4 linked regions of the Saccharomyces cerevisiae S288C genome follow. Changing the gene in region 3 together with the main gene of any one other region gives a genetic interaction. Each region holds a gene or a part of one and is shown on either strand. Other genes may lie near its edges. The genes, in order: INO2, TOR2, FAR11 and SND2.

What was found.
Region 1: mutations in FAR11 (region 3) and INO2 together harm fitness more than expected from each alone (negative genetic interaction), as found in Saccharomyces cerevisiae (2 studies listed by BioGRID).
Region 2: mutations in FAR11 (region 3) and TOR2 together harm fitness less than expected from each alone (positive genetic interaction), as found in Saccharomyces cerevisiae (3 studies listed by BioGRID, with this or other methods).
Region 4: mutations in FAR11 (region 3) and SND2 together harm fitness more than expected from each alone (negative genetic interaction), as found in Saccharomyces cerevisiae (2 studies listed by BioGRID).

What each region holds. Positions count from the first base shown.
Region 1 is NC_001136.10:695,684-702,491, forward strand, and holds INO2 (Ino2p), read right to left. Parts: upstream 3,786-6,808; coding exon 2,871-3,785; downstream 1-2,870. Other genes in the region: serine/threonine protein kinase KIN1, read left to right, coding at 1-2,211; YDR124W (uncharacterized protein), read left to right, coding at 4,632-5,606; ECM18 (alpha/beta hydrolase family protein), read right to left, coding at 5,714-6,808. UniProt on the Saccharomyces cerevisiae protein: Positive regulatory factor required for depression of the coregulated phospholipid biosynthetic enzymes. Also involved in the expression of ITR1.
Region 2 is NC_001143.9:55,962-67,367, forward strand, and holds the start of TOR2 (phosphatidylinositol kinase-related protein kinase TOR2), read right to left. Parts: upstream 7,399-11,406; coding exon 1-7,398. Other genes in the region: MNN4 (Mnn4p), read right to left, coding at 7,969-11,406. UniProt on the Saccharomyces cerevisiae protein: Phosphatidylinositol 3-kinase homolog, component of both TORC1 and TORC2. TORC1 regulates multiple cellular processes to control cell growth in response to environmental signals. Nutrient limitation and environmental stress signals cause inactivation of TORC1.
Region 3 is NC_001146.8:382,064-390,861, reverse strand, and holds FAR11 (Far11p), read right to left. Parts: upstream 6,876-8,798; coding exon 4,014-6,875; downstream 1-4,013. Other genes in the region: ESBP6 (Esbp6p), read left to right, coding at 1-716; SPC98 (Spc98p), read right to left, coding at 1,095-3,635; TEP1 (putative phosphatidylinositol-3,4,5-trisphosphate 3-phosphatase), read right to left, coding at 7,199-8,503; NRK1 (ribosylnicotinamide kinase), read right to left, coding at 8,660-8,798. UniProt on the Saccharomyces cerevisiae protein: Participates in the control of the reentry into the cell cycle following pheromone treatment.
Region 4 is NC_001144.5:264,139-270,700, reverse strand, and holds SND2 (Snd2p), read left to right. Parts: upstream 1-3,782; coding exon 3,783-4,328; downstream 4,329-6,562. Other genes in the region: PET309 (Pet309p), read left to right, coding at 1-2,888; signal peptidase complex subunit SPC3, read right to left, coding at 2,978-3,532; PER33 (Per33p), read right to left, coding at 4,424-5,245; BMT6 (25S rRNA (uracil2843-N3)-methyltransferase), read right to left, coding at 5,447-6,544. UniProt on the Saccharomyces cerevisiae protein: Functions in the SND pathway, a SRP (signal recognition particle) and GET (guided entry of tail-anchored proteins) independent pathway for targeting a broad range of substrate proteins to the endoplasmic reticulum.

The sequences.
Region 1 (6,808 bases), on a different chromosome or scaffold from region 3:
TCATTTGGTGTAGTTTTATTTGTTTTGGTATGCGGTAAAGTGCCATTTGACGACGAAAATTCGAGCGTTTTACATGAAAAGATCAAGCAAGGTAAGGTTGAATATCCCCAACATTTATCTATCGAAGTAATATCACTGTTATCCAAAATGTTGGTAGTAGATCCGAAAAGAAGAGCCACACTTAAACAGGTTGTGGAGCACCACTGGATGGTAAGAGGGTTCAATGGTCCCCCTCCTTCTTACTTACCGAAAAGAGTTCCCCTAACTATCGAAATGCTTGATATAAATGTCTTAAAAGAAATGTACCGTTTAGAATTTATTGACGATGTAGAGGAAACAAGAAGTGTTTTGGTCAGTATAATCACAGATCCTACTTACGTTCTTCTCTCTAGACAATACTGGACTTTAGCGGCCAAAATGAACGCAGAATCCAGTGATAACGGAAACGCGCCAAACATAACAGAGAGTTTTGAAGACCCAACTCGGGCATATCATCCAATGATTTCCATATATTACTTGACTTCTGAGATGCTTGATAGGAAACATGCGAAAATTCGGAATCAACAACAGCGACAGAGCCACGAAAATATAGAAAAGCTTTCTGAAATACCGGAAAGTGTGAAGCAAAGGGACGTAGAGGTCAATACAACCGCTATGAAATCAGAGCCAGAAGCCACGTTGGCGACAAAAGATACCTCTGTGCCATTCACTCCAAAGAATAGCGATGGCACAGAGCCCCCCTTACATGTCTTAATTCCACCGAGGTTAGCAATGCCAGAACAAGCGCATACGTCACCAACGAGTAGAAAAAGTTCTGATAATCAACGCCGTGAAATGGAATATGCTCTCTCTCCAACTCCTCAGGGAAATGACTATCAACAATTTAGGGTACCTTCAACTACTGGCGATCCCTCAGAAAAGGCGAAGTTTGGGAATATATTTAGAAAATTATCACAGCGCCGTAAAAAGACCATTGAACAGACATCTGTTAATAGTAATAATAGTATCAATAAACCTGTGCAAAAGACGCATTCTCGCGCTGTTTCAGACTTTGTCCCTGGTTTTGCTAAACCGAGTTATGATTCAAATTATACCATGAATGAGCCTGTCAAGACAAACGATAGCAGAGGTGGCAATAAAGGTGACTTTCCAGCATTGCCTGCGGATGCAGAAAATATGGTAGAGAAGCAAAGGGAGAAGCAAATTGAAGAAGATATAATGAAATTGCATGATATTAATAAACAGAATAATGAAGTTGCAAAAGGAAGCGGGCGGGAAGCTTACGCTGCACAGAAGTTTGAAGGAAGCGACGACGACGAGAATCATCCCTTACCACCTCTCAATGTTGCAAAAGGTCGAAAACTACATCCAAGCGCAAGAGCTAAATCAGTTGGTCATGCTCGTCGTGAATCACTCAAATATATGAGACCCCCAATGCCTTCATCTGCCTATCCTCAGCAAGAGCTTATAGATACTGGGTTCTTAGAATCAAGTGACGATAACAAATCCGATAGTTTGGGAAATGTTACTTCACAGACGAATGATAGCGTCAGCGTGCATTCTGTGAACGCACACATAAACTCGCCATCTGTGGAGAAGGAATTAACAGATGAAGAGATATTGCAGGAAGCTTCTAGAGCTCCAGCCGGTTCTATGCCATCCATCGATTTCCCCCGTTCTTTATTTTTGAAGGGTTTCTTTTCTGTTCAGACAACTTCATCGAAGCCTTTGCCAATTGTTAGATACAAGATTATGTTTGTTCTGAGGAAAATGAATATAGAGTTCAAGGAGGTTAAGGGTGGTTTTGTTTGTATGCAAAGGTTCTCTTCCAATAATGTGGCAGCGAAGAGAGAAGGGACTCCAAGATCGATCATGCCACTTTCGCACCACGAATCCATTAGACGTCAAGGCTCTAATAAATACTCACCTTCTTCTCCTTTGACAACTAATTCCATTCACCAGAGAAAAACATCTATTACCGAAACCTATGGAGATGATAAGCATTCGGGAACATCTTTGGAGAACATCCACCAACAAGGTGACGGTAGCGAAGGCATGACTACAACAGAAAAAGAGCCCATCAAATTCGAAATTCATATCGTCAAGGTTCGTATTGTTGGTTTAGCCGGTGTGCATTTTAAGAAAATTTCTGGGAACACTTGGTTGTATAAAGAGCTGGCTTCTAGTATATTAAAAGAACTAAAGTTGTAAGTAACACGTTCCCTGAGAAACCACAGCTTACATTTTTGATATTCGAAAACAAGAATATCCGTTCGATAGAAATTTATATATATATATAGATTCTTTTTATTCTCTTTTGGAAAGAAGAAATAGAATGGACCTAAGCAGACACTCAGCAGTTAATATTTTCGTCCCTTAATTGGTATTATTTATAAATAAATGGCACGTACTTTATGTGTAAAGCAGTTCATCATCGATTGATGGAGAGAATTTGTATACGTAGAGCGATCATTGCACCGTTTACCAGGACAGGATTCATATGGATGTAATAGGACTATTACTTCACTGAATCAATACAACTCGTAACGGTCATATAACTGCGAGTTTGTACGCAGTTATTCTGTTTGTGAAGACAGATTATACTTCGCCGTTGAAAGATTTCTTTACTTCACCATCATTGCCTCCGGATTCTCTTAACTTCTAAATAAAATGAAGATACTGGTAATTCTTGTCCGCAAAAATCTACGCTACACTCTGGAAAGAAACGAGATTTTCTACCGTCTGGTTTATAATGAATATATTTACATGACCAGCTTTGCAATCATATGATATTTTCGCCCATGTATACGAAATTAACTAAAAATACATCCAACGGGAGGCCATTTTCATCACTAATAGCTTGTATGAGCTCAGGAATCATCCAGTATGTGCTGTAGTGCTTCATTTGCGCTTCTAATGGACTTGATATCGTTCATTACACAAGTTAAAAGAATATGCTTGGGAATTCTTTTCCCGTTTTCCTTCGGTGGGGTCCTTACTGATTTAATGAGCCTTTCAAAGGCTTCTTTGGTGTTTATTCTTCGTATCTTCTCCATTTGAACGTGTTTCCATTTCCGTACCTTCACAGGGTCGTCCTCGATATTGGCTGGAATATCAGAGTCTGGGATTCGTATCTCAGGTACTGAAAACGGTGGCGGGTTGTAGTGGTCATTGCCGATAGGCTGATGAGGTCCTTCCCTCGTGGTGAACTCAGTTGGCACATCTGCTGTGTTTGTGGGTAACTCCCCTGTGTTACTGTGTGGATGTGTTTCAGGATATCTTTGATTTAATTCGGTATACCTATGCTGCTTTTTTGGTGATCTTATATGTAGATGTGATTCGGAGTTCATGGAAGCGTTGGAAGACATCATATCCTGTGATATTAGATTGTCTAAAAACTGTTCAATGGCATTCGATTCATTCGTGCTCAACAACCCCGAACTGGAAGGAGACAACTTGAGACCAAGCGCTTGATCAAAACCCATGCTTGGTTGATGAGGGTTGTGATTTAGATAGTGTGCATGAGTATGCAAAGGAGCATGATGAGTTTGGTTATCGGCAGGTATAGTTTCTACGTGAGAGGGTTGCACGGTTGCTACGTTAGGAATTATGCCGAGCTCGTGTGTTAACAGAGGAGGGGAAGTTGCACTAAACGTGTTTTCATGTATGTGCGCAGACATTTGGTCGTCGAAGTTACTGCTGAGCATTTGGTAAGCAGTTTCAAAGTCTATATCGTTATCCAGATCTAGGATACCCAGTAATTCGTTCCCAGTTGCTTGTTGCATTTTCTCCTTTGCTGTTCCATGTATTTATTTATTGCACGTCAACGAGATGGAACCGAACCAATTTCGAATTGCTTATGACGCCAAATACTGATTACAATAAGATATGATGAGATGAGCCTTTAATCACTGAAAAAAATTCACATGTGTGTTGTACTTGGACAGGTGTCAACGCCCTGCCGATGACGGAGGGAGATAGAAAACCGGCGAATTTTTTACCTCCTGCTGAAAAAAGGTTAGGTTGGTTCCATCTGCCGCACTATGGAGGGTGATTCAACGGAAAAGGCGCAGGAAGTGCAGTAGTGACCGGCAAGCAGCATGTTGAAAGACATTGTTGGGAAATCCTGTTTGAGTCCTGGTGTGTCTTCATTCTCCTACCATTTGTAGCTGGCGTAGATTTGGTTTGAGTGTGGTTGGTTAATTCATATTAAGCGTTGAGATTATAATAATAGAAATAATGGAAGAGGCACTCGATCCATATTATCAAGGATTCAAAGTAACTCAGATCTGCAGTAAAGGAGAGATGCGACTGAGAACAAATTCCTTTGCAATGGCATCGGCAATGGCACAATATGGAACTTTTTCTTGTACTGTTGAAAAACAGCACGCTGCAGTTGCATCAGGGTTGTTTTAAGTTGTTGTAGTAATCTCGCGACCTGAGACATCCTTGAAGCGGTGCCTGCGAAGTCTTAGTGAAGAGTTTAAGATTAGAAGTATATAGCATCGAAGGGATGGCCCAACTGAAGCAGGTTCCTCTGCTTGTTTCTCAGCTTATATAAAGGATGGATTGCGTATGTATACATGTGCATTTGTGCGTACGTCATTTTTCGATAGAGTCAGCTTAAGTACATGCGTATAGGTATGGAAGAGCTTAGAAGGGCGCTGGCGCTGCTAAATGGTCAAGGATATGAGTTTATGGTGTTCATAAAGGAAAAAGACCATTTAATAAGTGAGTCAATTCCAAAAAACTTGTTCTCAGAGAGTTTTATATCATCTTCAATTGAAAAAAACCCTCCACTCACGTTCGATCCATTGGTAAATAGGAAAAGAATAACTGTTTATGAAGAAAATATCCAACCAGCGATCATGCTACCCTTAGATCAACCCCTACTAATACAGAATTATCTGTATACGGCTTTTAAATTATTAAGACAGGTCCCATGCAAGGCGATTGCTAAGTTGTGGATAAAAATTATTGAGCCAAGGAAGAAAACCAGGTTTCCATACATTAAAGGCAATGCTGGAAGGCCGGAATGGTGGCCAAAAGATGTAGAACATAAAGAGCCGGACCACCTCCAGAAAGCGGATCGACTGAAATTGATGTGCACGATAATTATGAATGTTCTACCGCAATCTCCCTTCAGCCTTGAGATTTTGGACGAGCTTACAGGAGTGACCGCCGCAATGACCATTTTTAAGAAAGAAACTGTGAAGAAAGTAATCATGAAAAATGTTTTCGAAATTGCGAAATGCTTGTGCAACAAAGATTTCAAGCAGAAGACCATATCACTTGATGATTTAAATGACCTAGCCCAAAAACAGAAAAAATCATACCATAGTCGTCGATTTGATGTAAATAAAATGGTTAAGGTAGAAAAAGATTTGTTACAACAGTCAAGTGGAAGCGATTCTTCACCCTCGATGATCCTTCCTTCAAAAGAAAGTGACACAGAGTATTTCCCCAGGGAATATCCGAAAGACCCTGTATCGGAGGATTATTCGAATAGCATATCTCGATTAGAAAATTTAGTGGAATTTGATCCGTTATTCCTCACTAAATTGGATGAATTAACTAGTAGCGATGATTGTAAAGATTTTATTTGAGAAAAATTTCAAAGCAAAGAAAAGAGGTGTGAGGAGCGCAAAAGCAAAAAGGGGGATAGCATACATTAACACATTTTTTGGCTCTTTGCTACTTGATTTGGTTGCTATCAAGGCGATTTAGTTTCGTCTGATAAGAAGGACACTATAGATTGGTTGAATGATTCTGGGTTATCTAAAAAAAGATTGTGACCGGAAGAAGGTATTTCTAAATAACTTGCTCCTTCTAGACAGTTCTTTAAATTGTTCAACTCTTTGACCATGAACATACCGGCTTTTTTATTCATCCAATCATATTGCCCATATACTATCAATAATTTCTTAACATTTAAATATTGCAGAGAATCCATCAAGGGGTCCTTTGCTAGGATACATCTTGAAAATAACGCTTTGAAAATATCTGTCGTAACCTCCGGTATACCTCCCTTACCGTAAAACAGTTCAAATATGTACTCTTTGTATGCCAACGATGGGACTCGGCTATATGCCGCCATTATGTAATTCCAACATAACTTAGCTCCTAATGGTCCCATCATTCTCAAAATGTGAAATTGTTGTTCAAATAAGTATTTTGGAATCATATTTCTTTTGGAGTAAAACTTGGAATTTGGATTTTTAAAATCGATAGTATAAAGAGTGTTGGAGTGGAAATTATTATTTACAGACCAGATATTCCTTTCCACTCCTAGTGGGGATACCAAGCAAAGTTTGTTTACCGAGTTTGGATATTTAACAGCATATTTAAAAGATAAATATCCGCCAAAAGAATGCCCCACAACATTCATTTTGCCCAATTTGTTATCAATGCGCCATTGCTCGATTCTGTCGAGATAGAAATCTTCGTACATTTGAATCACAAATTTATTGTGATTTGCATTTATTGTATATGGAACCTTAAATTTATTTTCTCCAATAAATTTGATATCTAACGGCAGAGGTGTTGTTGTATTGATCTCTAAAGACGGTACTGAAGACAATCCGCTCGCTGGCATGTCAATTGAGTATAAATTTCGGATGTGCTTGGACAGACCTGGATAATTTCTGAAAAAAGACATTGAAGATGCGGCATAGCCATGTATCAGCAATGTTGGTGTTCGAACAGTACTTGTGTTTTCATTTTGGAAATGCCATTGATTTATTTCGTTGAATAACTTATCATTCTTTTTAATACCTTCAACGTGTACCTCTTCCATAATACGTCTCTG
Region 2 (11,406 bases), on a different chromosome or scaffold from region 3:
ATGTTGGCATAGGTTTTCCACTGATGTGGCTTGTTGGATTAGTTTATCCACTTGTTCTGGAACGTCCAAGTCATTAAACCTTCTTATATCGTTCCCCGTTAATTTGTCAGTAATGCGCTTCAATACCAACATGGCCCTTGCATTTCGAATGGCATTCTTGTGCTCGTTTTCCACCCTTTGAACTTCTTCTTCGGTAATAGCCCCATTACTCAATAGCTCATTGGCATTCATCACGGGAAGTTGAATGCCCGTTTCTTCCTCAATTTTCTTTGTTGGTAAGTCAAAACCCCAATTGATCAAAGGATCGAAAGCAAAAGCTTCAAGGATTGCCATTAATGAACCCTTGTTATCTCTAAGTACCTTCATAACATTCTCACAAGTAATACGGAAGCTACCTTCAATTCCACTCACTTCCATTGCATATGTTAACATTCTAGTTAATCTAAAAGGTACTTTTTCGGGGAATTTTTCTCTTAATATAGCAGCCTCGAAACAATCACCAAAATCAATATGAATGACTTTCCCAGTGATTCTATCCAACATCAAATTACTAGGGTGGCGGTCACCTAACCCCAATATATAACCGGTCATGGACATCACGGCTAGCGATCGAGTGTAAGTAGTTCTACGCTCCAACCACGTTTCCGATGACCTACTCTTCAGCCATAACACCTTATAAAGATCTTGTCCCTCCGTATTATTTAGGGCGTAAGTGAAGACTTCTACTTTCTGCAACAACGTTAAATTGTCATAATCAGGTGCCATTTGTAACATGACCCAATGCTCAATGTTTAAAGGAATTTTTTTGGCTTCTCTATGCTCCCTAATTAATACATGGAACGTGTCACTATTCGGTACCCAACCCAGTAACCCAGACTTCGGAGATAATGGGATTGCTGGATATTGCTGGATATCTAGATGCCTTCTAAAGCACTCAGCGTCATTTTGCAAAAGCGTGTTAACTAGTCCGAATAATTGCATGACCAAGCTATCCTGTCTAATGTCTTCATGTCCTTTCAACACATACTTATAATCTTTACCATCACTACCCTTGATACAAAACTTTCTCGGTCTTTGTTTGGATGAGATTACTGAAAATACTGGCTCGAATTTAGATATTTTAACAATTGGTTTTCCACCACTTGCACGGGTCCCGGGGACAGCCAATTCCAAATCATGCGCAGATAGTAGTTTTGGCGACACATGTTGTAGTTCAAGAGTTTGTAATTGTGGCAACTGTTTACCAATTTTCCTGAAAACATTATAGTAAATGTCCCACGCTTGGTTTAAATTACTAACATCTTTAGATTTTTTGTAATTCATCAGCCATTCGTAAGCGTCATTCAAGTCCCTACCAAAAGAATTTTGGAACGATATTTCCCTCAAAGTTTCCGGTCCTCTCTTCAGCATTTCGTACAGAGGCTCTAAAGCAGCAAACATTTTTTCGGTATTATGTTCTCCAAAAAACTGCCTACTGGCGTCATCCAGACCCTCATACCATTGCTCATGCCAAAGCACCGCCATACGTATCAATTCGTGGCTGACAAGTTCAGCCTGGTCGACCAAAACTGGACTATGTATTCTCATCTTTTCTATGATGGACAAAGCTGCTTTCTGTCGTGAGAGAGATTCGGATTTAATCGCAACCATTAAGGGGTACACTAATGCCTGCGGATGAGCCTTACCTAGATCAGATAATAGGGAGAGTAATGACCTACTAACAATTTGATTGGGTTGATGAATTCTAGAAATTAACTGTGGCAACACTTCTAACCATGTGCCTATTTGGATTAGGTTGAAACCCTCGTGCATAGCTTGGGTTGCTTCTGGAATACCACCAAAAGTAAACCATAAAGTTAATAACCTTAATGCATCTTGAAGAGAGCTTGATTCTGATAAAGAAATGGAATGAAAAAAACCCTTAATTGCTGGAATTACGTGCCTGTGTATTAAATTAGAAGAGTAATGAACTTCCTTAGCATCAAATGTATTGACGCCGATCATGCCATTATCAAACTCATTAATATCAGTTACCGAGGAAGCATCACTTCCTTCCTGTTTCTTTTTAGAGACAGATGTTAGCATAGAAATGACTTCAAAATTGGCCAGTGCCCAGTTATGCCACGCTTTGTACCATGTGTTGTCAAAATGTGTAGCGAGCAAATAGGAGCCTAGGATCGAATCTGGATTGCTCAATCTCCATTTAGGCTGTAAGCAAACTCTCCATTCTCCTTGCTTCAAGAAACAACGAGCTAAAAGCTTAGTATAATCTTCAACGTGACGAGGGACTCTTTTGCTTTGTTGAGGAACGCTTTGAGCTATCATATTATTTGGATCCAAACCTAAATCATGAGCCATTCTAGATGTGAAATTAATTAATTGCTTCAAAGCCTCATCTTGCAACCCCGTAGCCCACAAGTACTTCAGTTGTGCATAAACAACTGGAGGGGATGCCTTAGCAGTATTAGGATGATCTGGGTCATCTGTTTCTTCAAGCAATGTATTTAAGACTTTTTTAGCTAGCGCCATCCTACCCGATTTTCTGCATAAGTTGGCAAACTTAATCCTCACTTGAGCATCCTCCTTTGGCTTTATCACCAATGATCTGACACGCAGAATTCTTTGCCACACATCAATATTTTTTTGACAGCCCAGTAATCTGGTATTCCAAGTTTCTCTCATAGTTAGACGTTTATCTGAATTTTGTGGCAACTTCTTATATTTGATGATTTCCTCCAACTCTGCTATAATCTGCGCTCTAACAACAACATTATATGCTCTATTGTAGCTTTCATTAACAAGAGCTGACAATTCAGTAACTAGAAGATCCCTTGCATTAAAGATGTGAACTTCCGCCTTCTTAAAATTATTCCTATGCAAACATAAAATTGCATCATAGAATTCTTTATCTGGAGACTGCGATTTCATGACGCTAGTATACTGGGCTATTTCATCCCATTGCTCCAAACCCCAGGCAGCGCCGGCAGCCAAAGGCGCCATTGCCTTCTTCACTTCGGGTTTTGCCGTGCCCCACTTTTCAGATGCCAATTTAGAAAGCTCTTCCCACTCTCCAAGGGCATATAACGATCTTAATTTTCCCATCATCACTTCAACCGAATCTTCTCCTGCTGCCTCCTTCTCATTATATGCTGCAAGAGCATCCTCCCAACGTTGAAGTTTTTCATACCAAGTTTCCTTCAGCTGCAATTCATTGTGTTGTTGCGCATGCTTCAAAATACCAATAGCAGAATCAGTTTGGTGAAGTTGATTATTAATGCTAATCAATGCCTCGATTGTTGAATTTTTCGGCTCTTCTAAGAATTCTACCTCTTTGTAATGTAGTGCCTTCGCAAAAGCATGACATTTTTGGGCATACTTACCTAATGTATGGATTGGGATAGGCAATGGTTTGTCATCGTGCTCCATAAATTCCACTAAATTTAACAACATTTGATAAATCTCGGGTGGGTTTTCAGAGGATGATAAAGCCTTGCATAATGCTTGAATCAAATCCTCTTGGTATGACGTTTGAAGCTCAACCCAGCAACTTGAGAATGAAGCATTAAACAATTCTCTCGCCAACGGATAATAAACGCTGACTAAACTCGAACAGGATCGTAGACAAGCTGAAGGTGATTCCTTTAGAAGCTGAATAGATAGCCTTCTTATCCATTCTTGCCAATCTTCTTTGGTCTTCTGTTGAGAACAATACCATGCATTCTTTAGGATATTTTGGTTTACCGGTAATTTCGTTACTTGCATTTCGTCTTCATAATTTTTCCTTTCAGGTACTTCGTTCTCCTTGTCAAATATGATATTTGTTGGCAAGCATTCATTGTTCAGTAATTTATTAACCAGTTGATCGTACACTGAATGCTGAATCCTATTCCTCAATAACGCCTTGTTAATCACTGGCACAAAGACCACAAAGTCGGTACCTAGTTGTAAAAGGAGCAAACTTAGCGTATTCATGGTTGCTTTTGTTAGTTCTCTATCCCCATTATTCAAAATTCTTACCAACGCCTGAACAATTCTTGATGACATTTCAGAGAGGTTGATATTCTTTGCTAATCTACCCAAAGTTATAATGGAGATTTTCTTTAGACTTCCAGCAGAATACTCAGTCATTCTAACAACGATAGGCATAATCAAATGGGAATAGTCTTCTAGATTCGGCCCAAAAGTAACCAAAGATTTTAATATACGAATCGGAACGATCCTTTTATTAGACTGGTCGTTCTCAAGAATATCAAGGAAAAAGGTTAGAGTCTCGGGAACAAATCTTTTAAACTCACCTTCCAGAGCCTTAGATATCGATTCTATGACAGAAATAATTGTGATTTGTAGTTTAATGATCGGGAAAAACTCCCTGATCACACCATAAATTTTCTCGACATGGGGCCTAATATGTTGCTTGACAATTGAGATGAGAGATCCCAGTTGCTGAAAATAAAAGTCAAGTTGGGACGGCGGGCATGAACGCATGACTAAAATGATACCTGGAATAATTTGATCCAAAAAGGAGACACATCGTAAACCAAGGTTTTGAAAAATATGCATAATAGCTTGAATAGCAGCCGTGTGATGGATTGACAACGATGGATCATTCAATATCTTCATCAGATTGTGGATAACTACAGTGGGGTAATATTCATCGTTGGATGGAGATACCCCTTGCATTAGCAATGCGATGTCGATTGAAGGAGCATTTTGCTCTACTGAACTCTTTGAGTTTGATGTGACTTCTATTTCTCTGTGCTTATATGGATCAAGAGCGCCTAATATACCAATCAAACGAACAGTTCCACGCCTGATATGAGGGTTGTTTTCAGTCTTAAGAATATTTATCAAAATGCCAAGTAACTCTGGGTAGTCTAGTAAAGGGCCAACAACATAACCAGAGGAAGCAGCCAGCTGTCCTAATGTTGTTAAGGCGGCATCTCTTTTAAAAGAGTTTGATTGGTCCTGAAATGTGTTAATGATCAATGGCATCAATTCCTTTAAGTAACGCGTCATTTCTTTTCCTCCAACAACAGATAGTTCACCCAAAACCTTTAAAGCGGTGGATGCTACGGCAGATGAAGCATCCTGGCATTTAGGAAGAATGACGTCTAGAATAGGATCAATATAAGGTTTCGCTACTTCATCGCTGGAATTTATCAGCGTACATAATAGAGTTGCACTTTCCTCCTTTTTTTTTGGCATATTTGAGAACTTCAATTGCGTTAATAGTTCCAGTAAAGTTTTCCTCAAAGAAGGAACTACATAAGCGGGGTTGACAGAACTCAATCTGCCTATTATTTTGATAGCTTCCAATTGAATACCAAAAATCTCATCGTTCAGCGCCATGAAAAGTAGGCGTAAATTGTCTGGTTGGGCCAATTGAGGATCAAAATTTGACCCCAAATGCTGAAGAATTTCCAATCTAATTTCTGCAACCGGATCAGTTATTGCGATCATTAATAGCTTACTTAGCACTTCAGAAACCGAGTGTAAAGCATGAACTGATGTTTGTTTACATATATCGTCTTTGATAAATAAATCACACGACGTTAATGCTGCCAATTTTCTGACAGACGAATCCTCATGCTCAATGTAAGAAATGGTTATAAGCCTAACAAACTCCGTCAAGGAATATTGATGATGAATTAGTTGCAGCATTTTAAAACACTGAATCAAAATTTGGGCATCTGTAATATCGTCATTAGATTCACCAGTTTTTTTCATGAAACTTTGGTTTCTTGATTTACGAGCCTTTTCAATGGAAAATTGATTATTAAAATCGTATTGGTTTGATTGAATAAATTTTTCACCAGATAAGGATATCGACAGTAAATTTAGTATCCTCGAATTAACGGTAGATTCCAAAGAGGGTATTTTCTCGTTAAGGATCATTAAAGTCTCCTGCATATGGTCGGACATTGGACAGTTTAACATCAAATTAAGAAGATCTTTGTTCAAGTGCTTAGCAAAAGCTGGGCCCAAAGCACAAGCTAATTTACCAATGCAATAAAATAAATCCTTCTCGAATTGTTTTCTAACTTTGAATTTCGTTCTTAAGCCTTCCCTAATATTATCCAGAATAAGTGTCATATAGGGTGAAATGCTCGAACCAACTTCAAATGCAATATCACCTATAGAAACTAATATAAAAGGTTTATCCGAATTATTTGCAGCATTCATATCGATGTTCTTCAAATATCTTAAATAATGAACCATTATCCTATCGAGATATTTCTTTGTGAAAATGGCAGGGTCAAAAGCAGCTAAAAGAGGTAAAATAGCATAAACTTCTCTCCTTATAACATCAAATTTATATTCCTTGTACTTCATAGTAGATTTGTAAATATCATCATATTTATCCCTGAGATAAGGTGCTTTCAAGCTGAGTAATTCTCGAAATACCAACAGAGTAGCATGCACTGAATCATTCGTATTGAGACTTAAGCCATGTGTACAACCTTGAAATAATCTTTGAAACCACTGTTTTCCCAAAGCAGGGTCTCTATCCTGAATAATAGTAAGACATTTACCCAATGCCACTGCGGCATCTAATCGTATAATTAACTTTGCATCCCTTAATGGCACCCAAATATTGTCTAAGATAGAGTTAACGTAAGGGTATAAAAGATAGGGTGAATTGTCTGCTAATGCCTTTATGATTAATAGCGCAGCATGTCTCCTGTATTCCAACTTAGAGCTCGATGAGTTATTATCTGCTGTCAGAGTAAGCCAATCAATGCAAGTTCTGACCTCAAATTCGACGAAATCTGATGTTAATGTACCACCTGGCACGGTCAATCTACCTAAGGTGTTAGCCGCTAATCTCATAACTTCAATGTCACTGGATGGAATTAAAACACGTAAATAGTTCGCCAGTCTTGAAGTTTGGTTTGGCAGCTCCTCTGTACTCAGGTAGAATGAGATCAGAGTATCAACAGCAAGAATACCACCTATCTTCTCACTTGAAGTAAACCCGTGAATAAGTTCAAATATCTTATTGTTTAAACTGTTGCTAAACCTTTGAAATTGCTCAGCAGATACTTCCCTTGCTAATGAGGTCAAAGTAGTGCTTAATTCATTAGCGCCAGAGGCTCGTTCTTGTGGCACATCGCTTTTAAGTTTATCAAAAATCAAATTTAAAGTAGAAAATGTTGTATCTAGTTCTGAATCTACAAAGGATATTTTACCAATATGACCAGCAGAACCAGTGATCACTCTACCAGAGTCATTGGGCCCATTGTGATTGGAATCTGTGTTTGAAGTAGTTGACATCTCATCATCGTGGGAGTGCGATTTGTGTGTAAGTTTCTTTCTTGTTCTGTGTTTGCCTTCGGCCCTTTGTCGTAAAGACAATAAGTTAGGTGGCGTGGTGTATTTGTTAATGTATTTATTCATTTTTCATATGGGGAAAGTAAAGATCAGAAATCTCTTTGAGAAAGATAACTATTTGATCTTAATGACTATGCTCTTTATGCACCCGGTATATTTTCCCTTTCTACTGCTCCTAATCTACCTGTAAATAAATACAAGTAAAGCTCAGTTAAGGAAGTGATTGGTGTCACGATGATAAAAATTGGTCTTTCCTACTGTCATTACATTTCTTCCAATTTTAATTGCTGCCATATATGTCAGTCTCTATTCAAACATATTCAGTGCTTAAAAAGGAATATCCGGGTAAATATTCTGACATCGCCCAAGAAATATACGATATAACTTAAAGAAAAGAGTTGTAGTAAGCTAATAGCATTAAGATTAAATGTATGTTTGATTAATTGCAATATCATGATGTTATAGAGTAACGTGGTATAATTACCACGATTCCGTCGAATTGTTTGCCACTTATCACTGGCGCCAAAATGCAGCAGTATGTAAAAAATGACGGTAATAAATATATAATACAAATGCATAGAGGAAAGGCTATAGAAATGAAGAGATTCATGAATTTTCAGTCAGGTTCTCCGACTTTTAATTGCTGTGCCCCTCCTCCTGCTTCTTTTTTTCCTCTTCTTCGTTCTTCTTCTTTTCTTCCTCTTCCTGCTTCTTCTTTTCTTCATCTTCATTCTTCTTGTTTTTCTCTTCCTGCTTCTTTTTTTCCTCTTCTTCGTTCTTCTTCTTTTCTTCATCTTCATTCTTCTTATTTTCTTCATCTTCATTCTTCATCTTTTCTCCTTCTTCCTGCTTCTTCTTCTCTTCTTCTTCCTTCTTCTTTTTCTCCTCTTCCTCCTGCTTCTTCTTTTCTTCTTCTTCCTTCTTTTTCTTCTCTTCTTCTTCCTTCTTTTTCTTCTCTTCCTCTTCCTTCTTTTTCTTTTCTTCTTCTTCCTTCTTCTTCTTTTCCTCTTCTTCCTTCTTCTTCTTCTCCTCTTCCTCCTTCTTCTTCTTCTCCCTCCGCTTTCTTTCTTCAAGTAACTTGGCATAAGCATAGTCCTCGTATACAATAATAGGGTCCTTATCAAACATTTGAATACCCTTTCTGTTAACGTCGGATAAAGTTGGCGCAAAAAGGTCTAAACCATATGAATTTAAATCCAAAAAGGAGTTGCTACTAAAGTTTAAATTTGATTTAAAATCCACAGGATTTACTTCAACAGTATTAGCAGGAGTATAATCTTCTGTGTTATCATCTAGAGTTGTTCCAGTTTCATCAAAAGTAATGTTGAAAAGTGAAAAATTCCTGTATTTCAAACTTTCGGACAGATCAATAATTTTTCCGACATATTCTTCATGAACAATCTTGGTAACTTGATCTAATGTAGTCTGGTTCATAGATTTTGATAAATCCTTCCACATAGCTTTTTCATAACCAAAAAGAAATGGGTCCTTTGCAGGGGAGCTTAACTTAGGAGCAACATTAATGCGCAATTGATGTAATAATTTCTTTTTTTCAATAAATGTCAGGTTTTGGCAGTATTGAATTTCCAATTCCTTTTGCCTATATGCAGTGACATTGAAGGAATTGTACAAGTTAGTAAATACCTCGATAAAGCCAGCTTTTGGAATATTTTTATAAATTAAGCGAACATCATCCATGGATAGGTTTTTGAAAGAGTATTCAGAGACTTTGTTGGAATCAAAAAGTTTCGACTCAAATTTCGTAGACGATATTTCTTTCAAGAGGTTCGGATTCCATGAATTAATACTGGGGATGTTTGGATACCATGAATTAATATTACTGCATTTCTTTAACCCGTCATAGTCGAACCAAAATCTAAATTCGGGCAAATAAGCAGTATTTTTGTAAGCATCAAATGCATATCTATCAGGTACATGATATTCATTGTGCAAGCAGTAGGTATGTCTGTGAGGAATCAACGCTGGCACACCATGGAAAACAGTATTGATTAAGGGAGATAGTTCCTCGAACGAGTTAAAATGGTTGTTTCTACAATTGTAAAGTTTAAGTTTTTCGTTGAGAAAATATCTTTGTTTAGGATTCAACTTGTTTTCAATGGTCTTAGACTTTGGTAACTCTTCCAGTTCCTTTTTCAAAAGATCTTTCAAATCAGTATCAGTGGGGACTCTTTTATGATTTTTATTTTCGTCGCTGGTAATGTAATCACGTAGCTCAGTGATGTTTAGTGTAGCCATATTGACTAACCCATCATCTACTTTGTCGGGCAAAGTAGCGGTCTCACCGTTCGATTCAGGGATATTATTGATATCCAAATGTTCCTCTTGCAACCGCTCTTCAATATAAGAATTCAAGTAATCCCTACTAGGGGCAGAAGTGCTAGCTAGACCGGTAATATCAATGTAAAGGCCGGTGTCGACGTCAATGAATCTTGCATCGATATTGTTTTTACCGTTACCGTTAATTCTTACTGTCAAGGAGTCGCTGACGTCTAGGAAATAACGTCCATTACCCTGTCTTGGGTCTTCCAATATAAGAGATTGGTTGAAGTATTGACTGAGCAATTGTAAATGCTTAATGGGCATTTGCAAGTCGAAATCGTTATCCCAAGGGAAAGCCATTCCATTGTAAAGATAGCCGTACAGCGTTCCGTGAGACAACCAAGATATGATGCCGTTGGCTTTAGTAAACTTTTGGAATGTTCTGATCATTGAGTTCAATCTAGCCTGGTATTCTTGTTTATCATTGATTAATGTATCAACATTGAAGAACCTCTTGTCACGATGGAACCCCATACCTTTATATTGCTTCACGGCACCAGCCTCATAGAAGAACTTTCTTTGCAATGCAGGGCTTGTCTTTACGGAATTCTTCAAACTGTTCAGATAATTCTCATTATGAGCGGAAAATTTGTCCGGATAGAGTTTCTTCTGTTCCTCTAACTCTTCAATTTTTTTGGAGGCATCGAACTTGAAATCCGAAGGGGATAAATAAACCAAATCTTTATCAAAAGTGAATTTATCAGTTTCTTCAATTTCCAGTTTGTATAGGGAGTTAACTTGGTCGTTATTGACGAATTCCTGGAAAAGCCTGTTATGGTTGAATTCTACGTCCTGTTTATTTTTCTTTCTCTTGTTCGTAGAATTAATGTTATCATTAATATATTCCTGCAACAGGCCGGATTGCACCAAGTTTTTTGATTTTTCAGTTTGCAAGGGGACTTGATACGTGGAATTATCTGATTCGATGATGGAAATGGATAGTGGATGCGACTGTGTAGTCAAAATGTAGTTTCTTGCCTGCAATTGGTAAACTTCGGGTCTAACTTTATCATACAGCTCCTTTATTTGAAATTGCGTATTAAATCTTAAACCCTTAGGAGAGCCATGCCCGTCTGGAGTGAATAGCTTGGAACAATGCTTTTTTAGTTCCTTTGAGTCTTTGATTCTGTCCTGGTTTCTAGCGGCCTTGTACCACAGTTTCTGCGCGTACTTTGGTCTTTCGTATAGGAACAAAGGTTCGCCGAGCTCTGTCTCAATGGCCTCTAAAGACTCTTTGTCGAAAGCGGACTGGAAAAGAAAATTGCAGGGCAGAACAGTTTTATCTATGGAAATCAGCTTATTCAGCTCGTGGAAGGTTGTCCAGTCGTACCATGAAAAGGGTAACTTTTCTGGCTGATCTGCGTCATTATTTTGCAAATGGTTCAGCACAACGGACCACGTGAGACGAGGGTCGAAGTCGTAAAACTTCAACTCATCCACGGATTCGAGCTTACTGCCCTTTCGAGGGCCCATTTTGACCGAGAGCAGGTCATTTTGCAGAGTATATTCATTGACCCATTTAGGGTTGGTGCCGAATTTTAAATTTTCGTATAATGTCTTAGCGAACTGGATCTTGCGATCGTTTTTGAAAGACGAAGTCAGGATGCTATACCAGGAATCATCATCACTGTCAAGTTCGTTGTAATTTGGTAGAAGGTAATCAGCGTCCCGCCCAAGTCCGTTACGCTGCGGTGAATTTGACCAGATAAACGTTATAATGATGATCTGCAGTAG
Region 3 (8,798 bases):
TGTTCGCATTATTTGCCTACAATATGATGGTTTTTACTTTATCTTCATACGCAATCTCGAAAGGATTATCATCGCACGACGCTTCCACATTGACTGCCATTTTGAACGGCTCGCAATCCATCGGAAGACCTCTGATGGGTTTAGCGGGAGATAAGTTTGGTAGGGCAAACGTAACGATCGTATTAACCACTTTGTTAACAATATATATGTTTGCGTTCTGGATCCCCGCTCATACGTTTGTTCAACTCATCTTTTTTTCAATTCTAGTTGGCTCATGCGTTGGTGTCGCCAACGTCATGAATACCGTTCTGATTGCCGATATGGTTAAACCAGAAGAGTTTTTGCCCGCTTGGGCCTTCGTCAACTACTGTGGTGCGCCTTTCTTATTGGTTTGTGAGGTGATTGCCCAGGCATTGACGGTGGAGAAAGATAAGAGCAATCCTTACTTACATGCACAAATTTTTTGCGGTTGCTGCTTTATTGCCGCACTAATTTTAATTTCTATCCTTCGTGAATATTCTATCAGGATGAAATTAACGGAAAGACAAGCTATGACAAACGAGAAGTTAAAAGAATGGAAGGCAAGCGAATACGATACCGATTCTGCCGATGAAGATTGGGGTAAATTAAAAGAAAGAAAGACTAAATATGACCTTCTTTTAGGTCCGGGCATTAAAAAATACTTCCTAAGAATGGTATATCCAATGAAGGTCTAGTTCTTTTCGACGACCTGATTCATGTTATATACGCGATAGTTACGTCGCCTACTCATCATATCATTAGTACATAATATTCAATATCTCCGCTTCACCTAATTAAATTTCTTTATTATCAAAAAGACGTAAAGTTAACGCTGAAAAAGCATTCTTTACAGAAAACGACCTTTTTTTAACCTAATATATTTAGCACTGTAAAGATATTCCATGTATCCATATGTAATACACTTTGTGTTGCGGATCCAGGAAAAACAAAACGAAAAAAGAGTCTCTTTACTTGCAAATAAATCTGTAAATCATTTGCTACCATTACAACTTATACATTAAACCTGCGTGGAGGAAATTTATTATAAATGAAAAACGGGACGGGATCATTTCTTAACGGAGCGATTTGCTCAATAAGAAAAGCTCTTCATCGCCATCGTTCTTTAAATCTGCCCTAAAAATATACAGTCTGTCTTTAAAATTTTTATACTGGCTAACAATTTCCTTTAAATTCGTATTAAATTTTCCCAATAATCCGTTAGATGCTTCGTGATCATTGAGATTCATTTTAATGAAGATTTCGTATCCAATGTCGTTCAAATTACAATAAACTTTGACGAACTCGTAAACCGAATTTAAAAGTAAAACCAATGAAGTTGGGTATGGTTGCCCAGAATAATCACCAACGCTTATTTCACTTGTGTTAGTTGCAAAAAGCTTATGAGAAAGAATATTCGTCAAGAACGTGTTATGTACACTTTCTAATTCATCAATATTCAGCGTCTTTTCGATTGCGTGTTTTTGGGGTTTACTGCTTGAAGACTTTGTTAGTACTTCAGCTTTTGGGGTTAAAATCCCATTTAATTCTATGGTGCCATTATTTAATCTAATTAAGTCGAATTGGTTTTGGCTTTTATTCTCTGTGCGTTGCAGTTTCCGGGTCATTTCTTTAAAATTTTCCTCTATAATGCAGTTCAAATAATAAGATTCCATCTTCGAGTTGAATTGCTGGAATTGAGTTCTAAGTATACTGATTCTAGAAAGTTTATTGATAATATCACGGATGAGCGGGTTGTAACCTCTGATTTTCTTGAATGATCTGATTATATCATTACTCTTCAACATTTCCTTTTGATAGAAATAATTGTTCTTTTTAAATCTCCATAAAAAATTGAAAATTCGTAGATACTCTTTCCTGCCAAAAGGACGATTTACGTTTAATACTAAACTCAAAGGGGGGTAGAGGATGTAATCTAAAGTAAAAACATCCCAACCCACGGATCCATGTCCAAGATCGAGTACCCTCGCATCCAATCCATTAATGACAGAACTATTACGGGGACTATTCATTAAATGTCTTAAGGAAGAAAGCTGCACGGCTTCCTGTAAAACCCTTGTTAACTTATAATTTGGCAATGAATCCGATGGTGTCGCGAGAATATCATTGGCCTTTTCTATAAGAGCATCCATAAAATCAGATTTACCCATGAGAAGAATATTCTTTAACGCAAATACCACGTCTCTGTAATGAAACTTCTGATTTAGAATTTGATTAGTATGATTAACAATTTCAGAATATTGATCATTTATAATTTCAAAAAAGTTCGTTGATATTCCCCGATAAGAATTGCTCTGGTACAGGACATGATACTTTTTAGAAAATTCGTTTGTCCATTGAACCTCTTTACAGTACTTTTCTAGGAAGATATACGATTTGCCGATCATGAATATTTTATATGCCAACTCTTTCGGTATGAAGGCCGGAACTCTTTCTTGGTTGAACTCTATAGGAATGTGGTAAATAAAATCATCGTCTGTACCATTTGTATCAGTGTTTTCAGCAATGAAGAATTCTCCATAAGTAGCTCGGAGTAGACCTTTAGTCAACCAATTCATTAAATACTCATAATAAAGAGAAATCATTGAATTAAACAAATTCGTTGCTATTTTTCTTATAGTAAGATCTCCGTGGGATTTGAAAATATTTAATTCAATCAAGAATGTATCTCCGCTCAATTCTTCAAGGTGTTCTGTAAACCTACAGTATATTCGAAGCCTTATTATATTTTCATATATTTCACGATATAACGATTTCAATGACACTACTGTCCCTGAAGAGACCAGATTGTTCACAAATGCTGTGTAGTTTTGTAATTCTTCTGAAATTTCTATAATCAATGCTTTTTTCATTGGAGATATATTCAACATCCTAAACTTCTCCACTTTATAACCCAAACTTTGATATAATAAACCCGCTTCAAATATTAAATGTAAAAGTCCACTCTCAAAATTGGGTATCTTAGACGGAATTTGTATTTGCTCATGATCAAACGGAAATAGTGCCGATGTCGTAGCTAATAATGTATATGATACGTATTTTAGGATATCTTCCTCGGGTATAGTGTTCACATAATAAGGATTTGACAACTGTCTCAAAGTAACAGAACTGTAGGTTGAAGAGGGAACGTAACGATTAGGCGAAGATACCATGGACCTTCTTTCAGAAAATCGGTCCATGTTTTCAAATGAAGCTTCTGTATATATACTTGGAGCCCGCACTGGGCTAAGTAAATGTTCATGGTTAGCAAGGTTCTCCATATTGAGCCCAGATGATTTTTGGACAATTTTTGCTCTGTAATTTGATGGAAGCAAAGATTGAAAGACAGAGAGGTACTTTACCATATCATCGGTGTTCTGGATTCCAAATAAAGCATCGAGAAATTTCTCAATTTTATGCCACATAATTGTTGTTTCAGGCGAATCTAGTGATTGTAATTTGTAAAAATCAATTAAAGGGCCTAATTGAGTTGCCGATTTGGTGGATGATCGCAGTAAATTGACTACATCAGATACAAATGTCTGCAAATGACTCTGCGACAATAATTGAGGAGCCAATGCCTCTATTATACCAAAAAGAGTGGGCTCTAGTTCCATATTGATTTTTCAGCTACAACTGAAATAGACTGTAATATATATTATGGTTATGCTTAGTATTCTGGCTCTTCTATTTCTTATATGCAGATGAAGCCATCAAATGAGTATATTTGTTTGTTTTGTTTAGTTTTGTTTACAAACGCGACGCATCAAAAATCGTTACCCGTATATATTATGATAATAGAAATCCAACAACGGTTGTCCTAGTATCCCACTTGTGATATGAAGATCCAATCATCACCATTGCGCGATCAAATAAACACTATTTAAGGGGTTTTCATGCTCCTCCATTGAAAACTATATAAACATAGGGAGGGATAGGAGATTGTTAATGACAATAACATCGCGCCCCGAGCCTCGGTATCCGTAAGTAGAGATTTAAATATTCAAATACTCGGATTCCTTGTTTAACAGATCTTGGCTGGAACTATTACGGTGTCCATATCCAAGGTCCTCCATAGATATTTCATAGTGTTGAAAATTGTAAAATTGAAGCAAGGCCCGGAGTGCAATTTCTTGACCACAAGCATCGCTCAACTCTCCTGATATATCCTTCCCTGTTACCCAATTATCAGTTAACTCCAGCTTTTCATAAAGGTAAACCCCCGATATCAATTCCATATGCTCGGATTTCCACCTCTTGTTTTTGAATGGTGTGAGTTCTCTTGTTATTTTCAATATTGGATGATACATGTCAAGGTTGAAGAGCCGATAATAGCGTTTAAATAGAATGCCGATGGAGAGGGGCAGCTCCTTTAACCTTTGTGTTTTATTCCCTGTGACTTTTCTCAAGATTCTTAACAGATATGCAAACGAAGGCATAATCTCCGTGTCGACCTCTCCTGAGTCATCTACTGAATAGGATTCACGATAAGACTCGTTAGAGAGAGAACACTCCTTCCAAAATGAATTCGGGGTTTGTACATATTTATTGAAAACCCTCTCTGGATAAACCTCAGAATATTTGCTTAAAATAGATGCGCATGTGTTGATGTATCGCGAATCGTGAATAACTACCGCCAAGTGTTCAAATTTCAAAATATGGCTTAACTTAAACCACTTCAATAACGCATGTAATATGCCCGCTGCTGACTTTAGGGACAATTCCTTAGCTCTCACGATCTCCAATTGGGGTGTCAGCATATTTAGAAGATTTTTATCGGAGACTTCACTTTTCCTATGAAAGTTATTTGTCAAGCTTGATTCCATTGTTTGCAGTAAGACAAAAACAAGAGAGTTAAAGCTCGAAAGGCAGCTCTTATAATATTTGTCAATTCGCTGCATAATGCAAATCGCACTTTTTTCCTCTTTTGAAGAGTTTGCATCATGATTAAGCGCGGCATAATCATATGGCTCATTTTCTAATTGCTGTTTCCAACCACGTTCAGTTATCATGAATAAGTCCCTTTCGTACCAAAGTTGTTTTGTACTCAGCTTAATTTCTAAACTCTCGCTTAATATTCTCGCTGCCTCTTCGGTACTGAATGGAATAACTATATCGTTATCAGGTTTTCTCTCTATATTTAAATCTATCCTATCTTCCAGAGTGTCATCTTCAGATCCTTCATTATCAGATGGATACAAACACGGATATGCCATGTTTGTTTGGAAAGATTTACGAGGTCTAGGACCTTCACCTAAATGCATTAATTGTGGAGAGCTTGGCGGTGAAGGAGCAGGTGTAGCAATATGTTTTTCAGGAACAATGAGCGCCATATTTAGAGGATTCTTTGATTTTGGACGAGGAATTTCCAGAAACTGGGAAAGAGATTCTGATTTGTCAACATCTTTAGGTAAGCCAGAACTGGGCATATTGTAATCAGGAAAACGGGAAGTAATGTCCTCCCTGAATGCTTGATAATGTAATGGGGAGATAGAAAGCTTTTCTGGATGCTTTGATGGATATGTTAAGCCATGGAGATTATAAATAGATGATTTGGTCTGTTTGTAGACAGAACTGTCACCAAATTGTAATACAATAAGCTTGAAGAGCAAAGAAATCATATTTCTTATGCGCATAGCTAATCTGCTATTCCACCTCCAATTTTCAATATACTTTGTTAAAAATTCCAACAAATCTGTTTTCTCAAAAGCGTCGATAACAACATTTACTGCTTCCGGATTTTCTCCTCTACCTTCTATACAAATACTGCATATGAAGTATAGGATTGTTGACGAATGAAATAGCAAAATTGTTTGTTTCTTTAAATTTCTGTTGTCATCCCTACAACTTATTGCAATCTTCTTGAAGGCATGAACAATTTCTTGAATATGAGGAACAAGCATTAAATTGTTGCGTCGTATAATCTTTGTATGCTCACTTTTGCTATTCGTAAACGCAAAGCATCCCATAGAAATATATGATAATGCGAGTAAATTAGATGCTAAAGAATTGGGGATGTCTTCAATTAAACATTCAACTACGCTCGCAGCATAGTTTTCATCATCAAAGAATAATTGTGGTTGCGTAATTTTCTGTTTAAACAGAGTCTGTGTCTGTCCAAAATGCATATAATCAGAGCTGCAAAACCATTCCGACAGTTCATCTTCCAAAGAATAAAACATCTTCAATTCCCAGTCCACTGCTCTTTGTAAAGCATAAGGTGCACTTGATCTTTCCTCAAGTGAAGCTGCGCACTGGTCAAGTGATTTCTGAAATTCTTTATCTACCGGCATATTATAATCAACTTCGCCCTTTTCATTGATAGGAACATGCTTGCCATCAGAAACCTTATTCAAATCAAAGCCATCCAGTTCATCTACATTAGCAAATGATTCATCCTCATTCTCCTCTTCAGCTTCTTCAGCATCGTCTTGAAATTCAACGGCGTTATCAGTATTATTATCTTTCTCATTATTTCTATCCTTATTAACGCCATCATCACTGAACTTAAAATTATCATTTTCATCACTACTATCTTGCTGTATATCTATGGTACGAATATCTCCCTCAAGACCTGATCTTGCCTTGAAGGTTAAGGCACTGATATTTCCATCTGATTTATTTCTTTTATCGGCATGAAAACTGTTTCTTCCCATGTTCAGTTTACCGCGCAACATGTTGTCCAAATCTTTTAGCAGTTCTTCGTTGCTCAATGTTCCGACCTGTGGTTCTTTATGTGAAGTGACTTCATCTTTGTACTTTAGATTGCCTTTGAAACTAGAGTTTCTCTTAAGATCTTCTAAAGACACAGACCTTATAATGGGGCCTTTGGAATGAGATCTTCCACTAGCATTCATTTTAGCGAGGCTTATAAATGAAAATTTGTCACTTAACCTTCTTCTTCGGCTATAAATACTAATAAAATTTCTCTACAATGCCTTTCAACCTACTCCTTGGTTCTCATATATTTCTTCCTGTTTCTAGAATGGCGTTTTGATTCATATAATTGACCGCTCCAAAAAATACCTGCCAGTAAATTAAAGTACCATACAAGAATATTGAAGAAAAGGAAAAGAATACATAATATAGAAAAAAGCCTACCAAAACAAACCAATTCACAATAAATATAACACTTTTAACTAAGTTTAACGAATGAATGGATTTGACGAAATGCATAAACCTATATAATTTCCCATTCCAATTTCAGTGCCTGAAATAATTTCAAGCCGTGAGTGCTGAGCTCCCCAAAACCGTCCAGCTCTTGCCAGCTTATGGTTGTCCCAAGCATTTCGTCTCTCTTTAACCTCTCTACTTGAAAGTAATCTGGCGAAGAATCGTCTTTAATTATGTGCATCAAAGTCTCAAGGTATATATTCAGCCAACAGCTGGCGCATGAAGTCCAAGATATTATGCTACTGGCGGCTTTGGACTTGCTGGTCCCCAGGGTAAATTCTATACGACAATCATTTTCCAGTGTTAAGTAGTCCCTACCAAAAATGAAGGTCATATTACCACCGCATTCATGCGCCATGATATCTGAATATACTACTTTTCGGGTTAGGAGGGCATTTCTATCATCGTTGTAGTGTTGAATCTTAGTAGTTACAATAGCAGACTCGGAAGTGATTAAGCTTGATGGGCGGAGGAACGTCATTTTAGCAAGCCTGAATTTAAATTTGAATTTTACCGCCTCATTAGAAATTCCTTCTTGGGCTGCTTTTTCATGGGTAATAAAAAACTCATGGTACCTTAAGTATCTTAATTGAGAGGGTATGGTGACGCCATTCGTCATACCATACTTGAATCTAGCCTGCATGAATATCAATCTTGCTTCTCCAAGAGGACACTGCAAGTATTTCATGAGGTATGCTACTGTTATCATACCAGATCGGCCTTTCCCCATTCGACAATGTAAAACAGCCACTCTATTCTTCGAAACGGACAGGTAATTTTCTATACCATCTACAATCTCTTCCAGCAGTTCAAATGGCGGTGGAAAATGATCTAGCCAACCGATCCTTTCACAAATTACATTATTGGTTTCTTCTTCGACCAAGGTCCTTGTTTCGAGATCAATGGGTGATATTGGTATCTTTCCATCATTAATCAGCGTCGAACGTAATTCTTGAATTTCAAAATCTTTGCTCTCAAACTTGGCAGCGATACCAATAAGATCATTATCTTTATAATCGCTGTCTTCTTTCTCACCTCTAAAATTAAAAATTCTAAAATTTCCCTTGCCATGGTACACTGTTAGAAACAATATTAAGTCATCCAAGCTATTCCTATAAAGCAGTTTTGGATACGTGTTTACCGGGTATGAGCAGACTATTAGATTAACTAAAATATATGATATATCTAATCTCAAACCTATATCGTTTTTAGTTTTTTTCATTGGTAAAGACAATATTTTCTTCATCAAGTTGACTGGTTTCCATTTAAGGAAGCCTTTTTCCATTTCTAATTCACTCCCCTCCTCTCTCATTTACACCAAAAAAATAATTTCAAAAATCGGGATGGTGTTATCAATATTGTGGTTCTGAAATTGTCTTATTTAAGTTATCTATCGAGGTACACATTCTTATTTTTATTGTTTTTACTTTTTTTTTTTTATACTTCTCATCGATTTTGTGGCGCTTTCCTAATCCTTACAAAGCTTTAGAATCTCTTGGCACACCCAGCTTAAAGGTTTCGCAATTGGAGTGTCATCATCATTTATGAACTCTTTTATATTCTTTGACTTCCTTGGGTCTAGTAAACCTTCTACGTCTCCATTAACA
Region 4 (6,562 bases), on a different chromosome or scaffold from region 3:
GTGCTCCTGCCGTATTAAGAAATTATAATTATAAGAAGGGTATATGGAGTACCGGCGTACCTGATCATATAAGGAAGCTGCTTCGAGATAAATCGACGTCACCATTATGCTCACAGGATGAGAGAAACCTGGTCTCATATTTTATGGCGCGCGGAAGTGTTCCTCTAAAGTCGGTTGGCAGTGGATTAACAAAGAAAGCAACAACATCAATAACAAGTAATTCAGCTACCACAACATTTGAACGACAGTACCTTATAAAGTATCTTTATCGGCACCAGGCCTATGGGAACGTTATAAAAATTGCACAGAAGTTTCTTTATACCACTATTGGTTCACAAAGATTGTTAAAACAGGATGCCTCATTACCTGAATTGAAAAAGTTCCTTCTCTCTTTATTGATTTTACAAAGAGGTATTCAATTAGATCAGGCAATCTCTGATATCATACAACGGTTTCTATTAACACAAAAGACAATGGTGATAGACCTCATTAACTCGATTTTCTCTAGGATGGTTATAATGAATATGCATGAAGAAGCTGTATATAAATGGGTCAAATGGATGAAACTAGTGAATGGACATTGTGAATTTACGAATTATATGGAGAACAAGATAGTTTTGAGAAACTTTTTATCATTCATGAGGCAATCAAATGTTCGCCCCGATTATTTATCTTATTTGAAAGCAATTCAGCTAACGCAAGGGCCCGCAATAGCGTCTCAATTTGCAACTACGTTGTTGTTCTTATTAACTTATATTAGGAAATTTTCTTCTGCAGAAGCAGTTTGGAATTACAAGTGCGAACATAACCTGCCGATAGTGAGTTCTGACCTGACGTGTATTCTAAAGACGTATTGTCACATGCAGAAGTTTAATTTGGTTTCGTCAACATATTGGAAATACCCTGATGCTCAGCACGACCAAAACCAATTTGATTATCTTTTGGTGGCTCATTCTAGGCTGCATAATTGGGACGCCTTACAACAACAGTTCAATGCTCTTTTCGGTATCGGTAAGCTACCTTCCATACAACATTATGGTATTTTGATGTATACTATGGCCAGAATTGGTGAATTGGATAGTGTCAATAAACTATATACACAGTTATTGAGGAGAGGTATGATACCGACATACGCTGTTTTACAATCTTTACTATATGCACATTATAAAGTCGGAGATTTCGCAGCCTGTTTTAGCCACTTCGAACTATTCAAGAAATACGACATAACGCCTTCAACAGCAACGCATACCATAATGCTTAAAGTGTATCGTGGTTTAAATGACCTTGATGGTGCGTTTAGGATATTAAAAAGACTAAGCGAGGATCCTAGCGTGGAAATCACGGAGGGGCACTTTGCTTTATTGATACAAATGTGTTGCAAAACTACGAACCATTTAATCGCTCAAGAATTATTCAACCTTATGACTGAACATTATAATATCCAACACACTGGAAAAAGTATCTCTGCATTGATGGATGTATATATTGAGAGTAACAGGCCAACAGAGGCAATAGCATTATTTGAAAAACATTCAAAGAATTTATCTTGGAGAGATGGTCTAATTTCAGTGTATAACAAAGCCATCAAAGCTTATATTGGTTTACGAAATGCCAACAAGTGTGAAGAACTTTTCGACAAGATCACAACCTCAAAACTGGCTGTAAACAGTGAATTTTACAAGATGATGATAAAATTTTTAGTTACACTGAACGAAGATTGCGAAACGGCATTGAGCATCATAGATCAACTAATAAAACATTCTGTAATCAAGGTGGACGCTACACATTTTGAAATAATAATGGAGGCATATGACAAAGAGGGTTATCGTGACGGTATAATTAACTTGTACAAGACAATGTCACAGAATAAGGTACCAGCGAATTCCAAAATTTTATATTATATATTGAAGGCCGTTGCCAAAAAAAGCCTACAAAATAATGAGGAAATCAAGGAAACGATTAATATGGTAGAAGACATCATGGAAAATGCTGCCAATGGAACTCTCGACGTTACGTATAACAAACTGCATCCCTCGGTCATGGCATGGCCAATGAGAATGATTGTGAAACATGATAGCCCACAGCGGGCTTTAGAGTTATACAACCGGTACAATGAGCTTTTCTTCAAAAAGCATGATTGGATATCAAATAATAATAAATTTGTGATGATGAGATCATTGTTGGTATTACTAGCTCAAATTGAACAATGGAAAGATTTCGAAACACTTTTCGCTAAATACATGGATCGTATTGAAAACATTGAAAACTTGCCATCATCTACAACGCCAAATATTAAACTAAGAAGCATATTCAGCGGATTGTTCCCTTATAAAGTAAGTCAGTTGATTGCAATGAATAAAATCGATGAGCTGCCATTACTGTGGAAGAAATTGCGAGAAAAAGGTTTTATTTTAGATAATATATCGTGGAACAGCGCTGTAGAAGCGTTATTTAAGGATCCAAGAACCCTTTCGTATGGTATGAAAATCGTTGATGACACACTAATTCATGGGTATAATTTGATCCATAAATTTAGACTATTAACGAAACTATCCGAGGATAAGACGCAGTCCAGTGATAAATCTTGGCCAACATTAAAAATGAAGGAAAAAGAGCCCAATAAATTTCAGCCCAGACTATACTTAAAAAGCGATACATATAACAGTATAATGAGGCAGTTAGACACATATTTGGACGGTATTGATGATTTAAAAACTTTAGAAGATCAGGTACGTGACTTCATATCAAATTACAAGTATTTTATGAAAGATTACTTATTAATGCCAAGAAGCAAGATCAATAAATGGGAACAGATTGAAATGAGACATCTTTCATATTTTAAAGAACTGAGGAAATCTAAGAGAGTATTACCTGTGAGTAAATTCTAGAAATGCATATATCATATTGTATAATCAACTGCATATATATCAAAAAATCATGTAAATAATTAACAAAAATTGAGAGAGCAAAGACTAGTCTAAACTTTGTTTTTATTTTCCACGGTCAGTGTATAGTTGCCTACAGTTTCACCGTAAGTTAGCAAACCTACCCATGGTTGAACATTCCAGTGTAACTTGAAAACCAAATCCTTGCCTTCGAATTTTCCATCTTCAATATCCCAGATAGAATACTTGGATCTTAGATCGTTCACATCAATCACAGCATCATCCTTGCTTTTTATGATCTTATCCCAAAATGTTACCTCACTTGTTATTTTTTCAGTACTGTTATACTCAGCAGTTAGATAGACAAAAACTTGCTTTGTATTCCAATTGAATAGGGGAGTGAGATCTGTATTTAGATCAAATTTAATTTTCATATTTTCCTTTGCCTTGCCTCTCTGTGAGCCAAAATATCTACTTGTTCTAACATTTATTAAAGTTTTGACGTTATCGATATTACTAGGTACTGAGAACGCGTTATTATTGATTAATTGATAGTATGAGGATGCCATGATGAATACAACCATTACAATTCCCATTGAAAAGGCCTGGTTCGATACATTCTGGAATCTTTGGACAAAGGAGAACATTGTTCTGGAGAAGTGCGGCAATGCTAGCTAGCTTTGTGGGTCTTTGTCTCAGTGGAACTTAATAGGCTTAACAATCAACTTTTTTCTCCACGTCTACCGACTGTCATGAAATTAGTCGACCTTCGTTCTGCGCCTTTGAAATGAAAAATTTCAACGTAATTAAAAAAAGATAATAGATGAAAAAAAGGTAGTATTCACGTGTGGCTTCAAGAAGACACCAAAGGCAGTGGTCTAAGTTTGTGTTGGTAGAATGGCTGGCAAAGCAGGGAGGAAACAGGCTAGTTCAAATGCAAAAATAATTCAGGGCTTATACAAGCAAGTCTCTTTGTTTTTAGGAATGGCTATCGTACGTCTATTCATTTCACGTAAGGTTACAATTGGCCAATGGATTAAGCTGGTGGCTTTGAACGTTCCTATGTTCGTTGCTCTGTATATCATTGTGCTATCCGGTAAGCCCAAATATGATGGCAATCGCGTAGTAAAACAAGGTATAGACTTGAACGACAATACAAATTTGATATCATATTTTTTTGATTTGATATATCTATCACTTTTTGGTAACATTGGTATTATAGCTTTCAGGACATTCAAATTTTGGTGGTGTCTACTATTGTGCCCCATCTATGCTGGTTACAAGTTATATGGCCTCAAAAACATGTTCATGCCTGGCGCTCAACAAACTCAGGCAGATAATCGCTCAAAAAATGCTAATGAGGGACAATCCAAATCCAAAAGGCAGATGAAAAGGGAGAGGAGGGGTGAAACTGACTCTAAAATTAAGTACAAGTATCGTTAAACAAAGCTTTTCAAACGTTTTTGAAATTTTTTGCTTTCTATAGAGGAGTGTGAGTATATACAAAATAATATTTAGATATACTTAAAATGAGCATGCTACACAGGTATCTTCCAAAACACTGTCATAACGAAATTCTTATAGCCGTTCCATAAACGGGAACAATATGGGGGCAAAGTACGGCTGACATATGCATCCAACCTAAGGACATATTGTTTAAATATCTGCCTCATAGATTCACTTTGTAGGTACCTTAATTTGAAAAACCATACATAGGTTAGTCCTGCCAACATTGTACCCACTACCTCAAACGACACGTTTGCTCTTCTTACCAACAACAAGAAAAAATTGAAGGGCACTAAGAAGAGGCCCACACGTAGGCCGCAGATAATCTCAAATACTTGCGCCATCTGTAAGAAAAATCCATTGTAGTTTTGGATGAATACCGTTATTTTGGAGTTCAACAAATTTTTCAAATTAAGTGGTATCAAAGGCAAAAATGGCAAAAGGTTTTCCTTAAAATAGTTCAGGAAGTGAAAGATTGAAAAGATAACGGGACTGTATAACGAGCCGCTGATTATGATGTTAAACTGTGATAAGAGAAAAAGTATGAATAGCATGGCAAAATACTGCAAATTATCCAATTTCTTCATCTCTTGGCGCAAAAGCGTAAAATTGAACTTTAACTGGTCACTTTTGAAAAACTGGTAAAGAACGATGGCATATGTAACGGATATGTAAAATAATGATCTTCTATAGCATGACAATTGGTTTTGTTTGGACGTGATTGAAAGATGAAATTGTATAAAGTTAAAGATGGTTAAAAAATGGCCTATAAACCAATAAAACTGGGGTTGTTTTATTCTTGATTTGATAATGGTGCCAAATGGTGCCATGGGACGATTCCTGGGAACGGTCATATTGTTTTGTGCTAATTTTTTTTTACAATTATTCGAAATGAGTCTTGTTTGATCGTGGCCCCTTCTTTATTTCTGATTCCAAATCGAATTTTCAACTCTCTTATTAATATTTTTTCGGTGTGGATGAGAAGAAAAAAAATTTTTCTAAACTCTTCGAGAAAAGAACAATGAAAAGAGAACAGTAAAACGTCATAAAGCCTGTTAGTTCTTGACATAAAGACGGTAAAAGAATCGCATGTTTTCCAATGGAATCGAGTAGTCGAGTTTTGGGTCCATTCTATACCAAATACTGTCGTTCTCGGATACTAGTGACCATGGACCTGTCGTTCCCTTGTCCTTTCTATTGCCTACTAAGATAGTATCGATAAGAAATTGGATTGGGAACTTCTTGTTGTTGATGGTAATGTGAGAATAGCTTCCTGCACTCTCTAGTATGAGAAGATGGCAGCCTGGGGCACAGTTCTCGTTTAACCGTTGCAGAAATTTTATACTCTCCACTTTTTTCTGTGTAAATAGTTCATTTGTAGTAAAAAGTAGAGTTATTAGGTCGAGGCCTTGATATATCTTGATATCTTGTGGCTCTGTCATTTGTAGGCAGTCCTTGTGGGTAAAGTTGACGTTAAATGACTCTGCTTCTGAATCACCATATAGCCATTTCGACTTTATTGTAGCTGTTAGCTTTTCAACAACTGTGGACCAGTCGGCGATATCTACTAGTTGTATGTTTAAATTTCTAGGCTTTTTGTTTACTTCGTTGTCTATTTTCAAAGCAGAGGCAAATTTAGACGAAAAATCTCTCGATAAAGTGAATATGCTCGCTAATGCAACCAGCTCACCACCAGCGCCGCCACCTATGCAGAGCACATTTGAGTCCTTGTCATCAATTTCGCATCTGATAATCTTTAGAAGCTCAGGGAAATGTGCAAATACTGATGCGTAACTTGTTGCTCTGGACGGTGACCAACGACAACAATATGCTATTCTTTTCGAGTCGTTATTGAAAGCAGCATTGTAATCTCTGTTATAAAGGTCAGATTTTACCGCCTGTATTTGTTCAGTTAACGGTGACTTTTCATTGTCTTGATCTTTTGGATATAGCTCTTCTAAGAATGTTATTTTAAAAAGATCGATTATTTCCTGTGGTGGAAGCGTTGATTTATTGTGAACGGGCAATTGGGCCACTTTTTTAGGATTCATGTTAATTGGAAACTGAGAAGAGTAATGATATTGTGAATAAATTGGTATATATTTAAAATATACTGAAGAAGTTAAAAAGGCAAAGCGTCTCATAAGCAACATCAAAAACGTGCAAAAAGA